Linked DNA regions of Bombyx mori. The protein of the gene in region 2 interacts with the protein of the main gene of each other region in a pairwise test. Links are inferred from orthologs where the notes say so. Each region holds a gene or a part of one and is shown on either strand. Other genes may lie near its edges.

Region 1 (4,419 bases), on a different chromosome or scaffold from region 2:
ATATTCATTTCATTTCACTCCATATTATCATTTTTCATAAAAATATGAATATAAATTAAAATAAGACATGACTTAAAAAAGTCTCAATTACCAGGTCATAAAATCCCTTAAAAAAAATGAATTTAGAATGGATTTAGAGATGGGATAGGCGGCTTAATAAATCGAACATTTGTAATGTATTGCTTACTGTTTAACCAGGCATAAGAAAGACTTTTTCAAATAAATAAAAAATGTGTGCCGTCACGGGACGCCTGGCAGATCTGAAACATCGACATTATTTTGTAAAAGTAATAAGCAGAAAATAACAGATTGTGATAGGAACTAAATATGCCTTAATGATAAAATAAAATATTACGAAAAAATAATTTGTTTTCAAGTACAACACAGGTTATGTGTACTGTAGTAAACAACACTGTATACACTACGGAGTATACACTATAGGTATCCGAGCTCAGTGTAGCGAGAGAGATGGCTTAACGCTGGATCGAGTGGGAGAGAATCGCACAGTCGATTGCGCATGGCGACGCGTCGTCATGGCATGCGTCGCCACGCCAGAAATCGGTTTTACGTGTGGCTATAGATGTTTCACATCAAAAGTAAACGTATTAAATACACTCTTTTGATTATTATCACCACTAAAACATGAATAACGGTGCATTATCCTAAAAAGTCTACTAAAGTTTAGTGTGTTTGTTGTTTTGCGTACTTATTCGCTAGTAACTTATGGGGCTAGTCTCACGTGCCGAGTTCAACCTTAGTAAAATTTTGATCATTTCATAGCGTTTTTGCCCAAAAGACGTGGCTTTACTCATATAAAAAGGATTATTTGACTATATGGGTTACAAATAAATTTATCTATACTTTATTTTTACTGAGTACTTTATTTTTAAGAGTAGAATACATGTACATTCGTCATCCACATCACATCTGACTATAGTTTTTTTAGGATTGTAGGATTACTGGTGGCTCAGAGGCCTTCCCAATTTCACCAGGATAGGTGGGCGAGCAAGGGCTCAGCCAGAGGGGTGGGATTTGTTAACAGCTGCCAAAGCACCTCCAAAGGAGAACTGGCCACAGAGCAGCTGCTTCGCGAATGAATCTACTACTGGATCGGATCGCGACACGCTGAGAAGATCCGGCGAGAAACTCATATTAAGTTGCACGTCGAACTCTTTGCCGAGTTCGACGAGTACCTAGTGTTAGAGCTGAAGGCGTCTAATGCAAAGGTTATTGGATCTGATGGATCCGTCAGGACGTGTCTAGGGCGTCGGCGGTGACTGGCTCCTGCGTGATCAGGAGTCAGGAAGTAGTCAGCGGCGGCAACGATTAGGCGATAATTATGACGCAGTCTGTTTATAGTCACGACTGGTTGCATGAGGAGTTAACGTTAAAGTTAAAAAAAAATCAATAATTTATTTCAAATTAAATGTTTTTTTAAAGTACATATATGTTGTTTAAAAAAAAATACAAAGCCGTGTAATAAGCAAAGCTTTTGTTTTTGGAAAAAATCTGTCAATTTCTGATCTCTATATTTCGGAGCAATGACCTAATGACAGCCAGTATCTAATGATTTCGGCACTTGTTAAGGTAAAGTAAAGTTTTCGATATAAGAAATTAATGATTGTTCTTAATTCGACTATATTAAATACGTCATATGCACATTTTTGTTTTTAAAAAAAAGTTTGCATCATAAGTGCTGTATTTATTAATAGTCCATTTAAATAGAGATATTCAAATATTGAGTGAGTTGTTGTTTGTGTACAAACTTTATTAAAACTGCCGAATTTTATGAAGACGAACGTAAGTAATAAAACTTGTGCTTACAAAACATTTTCTCTATATTTTTTTCCGATACATTGTGTACAATAATTAATTGCTGTAGAATTGAGCGTCAAAAACCGACCATGTTAATGTACCATGAATGGTAATAATATTTACATGTAACAAATATAAGTATGTAATAATAATATAATGATAAATGCTAAAACTTAAGTATTAAAAAATAAATAAAATCATAAATTATATTTATAAATGAATTATTATTAAATTAAGAATATATTAAAAAAATCGACTATATTACAGAATTAAGAATACATTAAAATAATCCTTATTTATAATGACATTAAGATAATAGGATTATTTTAATCTAATTTTATTACGAAATATTTAATACATCTATCTATATATCTATTTAATATACTATATTATTATGTAGTAATATGATAACACATTAATTGATTTAAAAAAAAATTGGTGATTTATGCTAAACTGCTGCCAGATTATGGAACTCTTTTCTAACCTCATTGAAACATAGTACTCAGGAGACAGTGGAGAGGAGTTAATTCTCAAACTGGACGATGAGTGGTAATACAAGCTTACTCTCAAAATGCACTGTGGCTGAACGCAATAGTTCTAAGTAGCAAGGGTAAACTTTACTCCAGTGGTAGATAGGGCAATAGTAAAACGGTGAAGATGGCATTGTTCCAAACAATATATTTTGAGTGAATTAACCTGTTTACTATATCACAAGGTATTAGTATTCTGTTCTCGTCAAATGCTTCACAAAGCTTAATGACTATGCTCACCTGTCCTTTTTCTACTGTTAACATTACAACTAGTAGTGTCCAACAATACTGAATGGATCAAGTAGATCAGGTCAGGTCATGAGGATAAAAGATCTTGAGACCTAGATCATCGTGAAGGTCTACATTCTTCACATATCACGGTACTCACTTTTAAGATTTGGAGAGTCTGTGAGGGTTGCTGCCATGTGAGCGATATCTGAGCTTATATAAATCATATAGCCATATTTTAAAAAGTAAAATTGTATGTCTGTTAACAAAAAAAACTTGCAGCATGCCATTGAAACTGCTAACTCTTGCTTTTTCTCCTAACAACACACAAACGGTTAGTTGATCTCACAGGCTCAATCTGAGAGAACTTAGCTAGAGTAGGTCTAGCAAGACCAGTGCTCTGTTAAATTTACCACAGAATTGGAACTAGAAGTTACAATTGATTAAAACACCCGCGGTTGCATAGACCGGAGACGAACAAGTAAACACAAAAATTTATATTTAAGAGTATAAATTTGTAGGAGCCTAAAAGCCGTTTCAGAATAAACATTGAAAAATACAACATGACAGATGCATTGACTATATCAACGCTTGAAAGGCAAACTTGACTAAGCGACAATAACTGCTTTGTACATAAATGATAGGCAATAACCATATTCGATGCGCAAAAAAAATATATTTCTCATCATCATCATCATCATCATCATCATCATCATCATCATCATCATCATCATCATCATCATCATCATCAACAGCCCACAGTCGTCCACTGCTGGACATAGGCCTCTCCCAATCTACACCACTGAGCCCGGTCTGCGGCTCTCCTCATCCACTTCGTGCCGGCCACCGTGCGGAGGTCCATCTAGCCAGGGGGCGTCCCACGTTACGTCTTCCGCTGCGCGGTCTCCACTCGAGAACCCGTCTGCTCCAGCGATCGTCAGTCCTACGGCATATATGGCCAGCCCACTGCCACTTCAGCTTGCTGACTCTTTGAGATATGTCGATGACTTTAGTTTTCTGTCGAATAATCTCATTCCGGATTTTATCCTTCAGAGAAACTCCGAAATATAAATATAAAAAATATTTCTAGGTCTATTAAAATCATTTCAATCCTACAGCTACTAGCTAGATTCTACTACAGCTAGATTCGTTAAAATAAATTTTGTTTTCAGGTATTTCAACTTTAAATTAGTCTACTGTAAAGTTCACGCATTCTCGCTTAGTCACGTTTGCCTTTCAAGCGTCGAATTATATTTGATTCAAGAAAAACATAATTTCACGTATGTACGTATTACGTATTAAACGTATACGGCTATTAAACATGATTTCCATTAACATTCCTATTCTGTGACAGCGTCTCGGTGGCGCCCAGTAAGGCGCCGGATTTTCGACGCACAATGAAAGAATAGTACAAACGGACGTGGGATCCTTGTGAAATAGGCCGAAAGGGATAACGAAATAGCTTATTATGTATCGAAACACGATAACAAAGGGAAATAAATTTATGCTTTTATTACGTTTGTGAAGGTTGGAACGGATTCTAGAAGTTTTTCAGATTTTCATTCGTTAATAGACTTACGTTATCTAATGCCTTATTTATGTGAACAAAGAAAAATAAACGGTAGGTTATAATAATAAGATGAAATACAAAGGCACTAATGTTTCTTTTACAAGTCTATCGTTTCCGGGAGACCGACAAGAGAAGTATCAGAACCATTAAAAGTGAAGTATACAACAAACGTTATCATGTCTACTAACTCAAACACAAACTCACAAAATAATTAAATAAAACCTGAATTAAATGAAAGAATTATATTATATAGACGTTAATTTTATTATTTATATT
Region 2 (3,656 bases):
TCTTGACTCAGTAGTTTTGGCTCTGTATCGAATTTTAGTACTTTTCGTTTGTAAAATGGTACCAGTACAGGCGAAGGCGCAGAATAATAAATTCGAAGAACATTAAGTAAAAAAAACGTGTCTTAATAAAGTCCTAATAAAAACAATTAACAATGAATTCTATGGAATTGAAGATGTAGCAGCATTTTCTTCGGATTTCACGGGTCGGAGACATAACCAAAATTAACTTGAACGGCTTAATCCCGCGTTTTTTAATGTCATTTTATGATTACTGACACGTGACGGGAGCCAAATGCTGACGCCTGACACCTTAGATGTTCGGAACTACGAACACTGTAATGTAATCATACATCCTACATATAATAATTAAATTTAAAAAAAACGCGGGATTAAACTATAAATTTAATTTTAATTAAATTGAAGATACACTTCGAGTAAAATAATCAATAGATAAAAATAGAAAAGTAATTTGTCGATACAATTACTTCTCCTGTACACATTACCGTTTTTTTTTGTTTTTTTTTTGTTGTATTCCAGAAATTTCCGTAGTACGTAGAGCTTATGTCACGTTTACCCCCGTTTCATGTAATTGTAGATAAATATGAAAGGTTTGTAATATAAAATTTATTACTCATATTATTTAGCACTGTTATCTAGGAGCATAGCATGTTTTGGTTTTATAGAAATACGAAAGTTTAGTTCAGAAATAATTTCTGTTTAGACTTTTATAAATAGGCATTACGTTTTTTTTCACGTTTTCTCGCTATGTTTAAAACAGTACAGTCACCGATCGAGTACATTATTAATACATAAATTGCGTAGTCTATATTATACTGTTATTACTACATTAGTAGGTACCACGATCTTCTTCACAATACATTGACTATAGTATATGACCACAGTGCATGAAATAAAATAATAAAACTAAAAAAATTCCACGTTAAAAATAAAGCAAGTAATCATGTTTGAATTTACATAAAATTTAAGTTTTATCACCCGCAATTTAGCACGAAATTCGTTAGAGATATAGAAATCGAGAAAGGAATAATGTTTTGGATGACTCGACAGGCCTACTAGCAGAAGCAGTGGGGGTAATCAGAACAGCAATGGAGTTAGTCTGCCTGCTGGATTGGCAGACGACCAGTCGAAAGACTTCGACTTTGAAAAGACTGAAATGAAATACGACTCAACAGGCATGTTCCATTGGAGCCCTGCCAGGAATCTTGAAGATTGTATATTAGTAAGTAGAGCTTTGAGTTTTACCTAATTATCACTCTAACAAATTAATTTAAAAGCATTACGTACTAATTGAATGTTCATATATAATTTAATCCCTATGGAGAATTTGACCGCTCAGCATTAAACCCGGGCCCAGATAGACCAGTGAAATTCACCAAACCTTATGCTTATCGAAAAAATGTTCAATATTAAATTACCGATACCGTAAATTAAATAAAGAAAATCTCAACAGGACAGAAACCAAGCGGCTATGACGGTTCTAAATGGTCACGTTGTCGTGTGTCTATTCGCGGATCCAGACTCGCCACTGATCGGCTTGAGGAATCTCGTGATGCCGCTAAGAGCCTCCAATTTCCACTACCACGAGTTGAAACACGTGGTTATCGTAGGAAGCGTCGACTACATACGAAGAGAATGGAAAATGTTGCAGAATCTTCCGAAGATATCTGTATTGAATGTGAGTATCCTTAACGAGCATTAGTTTTTGTGAGGTTATGATCCTGTTTAAATCTGTCTCAATCTACGCGATCATAATGTAATTACTTCTAAACGGTTTACTTATAACATAGATTCGCTCTGGGTTTCTAGCCATACCTCATATTTCATTTGCTTGAGTGGCGAATTGCAAAGAAGACTAATATTGTCATGCGATATTTGACGACCAAACAACCAGGAAAAGAAAACCACCAAAATAATATATAAAGATATTGATAGCACTTAATTCCCGGTCAATGCCAAGTTGATTATCTTCAAGTCTACGAATCAGCATGCTAAATTGAACAGCTGAAGTTGACAGTCAACAATGATCGTTCGGTATATTTGTTTAGGGTTCACCGCTAAGCCGGGCCGACTTGCGTGCAGTAAACGTGAACCTATGCGACATGTGCTGTATCCTGTCAGCGAAGGTGCCATCGAACGATGACCCTACACTGGCGGACAAGGAAGCTATCTTGGCTTCGTTGAACATCAAGGCGATGACGTTCGACGACACGATAGGAGTGCTCAGCGCCGGCGCGGGGGCCAACGGCAGCAACGCGCAGCCGCTGCCGGGCCAGCCCCCCGCGCCCGTGCTGCTACAGAGGAGGGGATCCGTATACGGTGCTAATGTACCTATGATTACAGGTACACTGACCGCAGTATGTGAGGACATAATTCTAGAATATTAATATAATATAGTGTCATTTTTGAAAAATTTTAGAAGCGTTTTTTTTTGTGGGAGGAATATCGCTGGATTTTCGCCTAAGTGATGTAGACTGATAGCCTAATGTGCCACTCGTCGTGTGATTTTGAAAGATTAATTATGTTAATGTTAATTAAGTAGTTTTAATGAGGTGAAAGAACATACGATACGATAAGATGCAACTATACCAAAGTTCAAATCCTGCGAGCGGGTACCAATTTTTCCCCAGTCTACCCACGTATCTACTACTATTCTGCCTATTTATGACGCGGAGCGGTCGAGTATACAAGTGAGTCTCCGACCTCGTCTAGTGCCATTTGAAAATAATGATATTCTTTCTGCTCATCAGAGCTGGTGAACGATAGCAACGTGCAGTTCTTAGACCAGGACGACGACGACGACCCCGACACGGAGCTGTACTTGACGCAACCGTTTGCCTGCGGCACTGCGTTTGCCGTCAGCGTACTCGACTCTCTCATGTCCACTGTAAGACTTGGCTAAATCAGCATTTTAATCTTCCATCGAAATATATCAAAATTTGTAGGATATTCCGCGGCTAATTCAATGTGACCAAAACGTGAATATTGTTAATCGAGTCACTGAACGTTTTTGCAGCATTAATTTATTGACAGATGTCACAATAATCAAATGTCAAAGAACAACATCTCAGTCCGTAACCCATAGATAATAAATCACATGATATGTAAGGCGTAAACGGAACGGAACGTAACGGCGTACGGAAACCGCAAAGTATTCGATAACAATGACAAAAATAAACGCGAGATTAAATCGCAAAAATCGTTTTATTTATGTCTACGACTCCCGAAATCGGAAATGATAATTAAATTAACATTACCATTAATGTTATGCAAATCTATGAATCTTTAGTCGGGTTTCCCAAAGTTTGACCAATTTCGAACTTGCAGACGTACTTCAACCAAAACGCGTTGACACTGATCCGTTCGCTGATAACGGGCGGCGCGACCCCCGAGCTGGAGCTGATCCTCGCCGAAGGTGCCGGGCTCCGCGGCGGGTACTCCACGCCCGAGAGTCTGGCCAACAGGTCTCCGCACTACTCACTAAACAAATACCAAACTCGATGATCTCAAAACGACTTTTCAAATTCGCATCGTTAAAAACGAAAACATTGAAATCACTGGTGGTAGGACCTAGATGGTAGGACTAAGATGGGTGGACGAGCTCACAGCCCACCCGGTGTTAAGTGGTCACTGAAGCC

What was found.
Region 1: the proteins of calcium-activated potassium channel slowpoke (region 2) and tyrosine-protein kinase Src64B interact in binary tests that used the Drosophila melanogaster proteins (3 or more experiments, as listed by UniProt). The link is inferred for Bombyx mori from reciprocal best matches to the Drosophila melanogaster genes slo and Src64B.

The regions. Positions count from the first base shown.
Region 1 is NC_085117.1:16,955,867-16,960,285, reverse strand, and holds the start of tyrosine-protein kinase Src64B, read left to right. Parts: upstream 1-1,540; 5' UTR 1,541-1,800; intron 1,801-4,419. UniProt on the Drosophila melanogaster protein: Tyrosine-protein kinase that may play a role in the development of neural tissue and smooth muscle. May contribute to tyrosine phosphorylation of Dscam1, a cell surface receptor involved in targeting of growing axons during eye morphogenesis.
Region 2 is NC_085115.1:13,419,409-13,423,064, reverse strand, and holds part of calcium-activated potassium channel slowpoke, read left to right. Parts: intron 1-1,068; coding exon 1,069-1,240; intron 1,241-1,471; coding exon 1,472-1,696; intron 1,697-2,066; coding exon 2,067-2,361; intron 2,362-2,768; coding exon 2,769-2,905; intron 2,906-3,345; coding exon 3,346-3,482; intron 3,483-3,656. UniProt on the Drosophila melanogaster protein: Potassium channel activated by both membrane depolarization or increase in cytosolic Ca(2+) that mediates export of K(+). Its activation dampens the excitatory events that elevate the cytosolic Ca(2+) concentration and/or depolarize the cell membrane.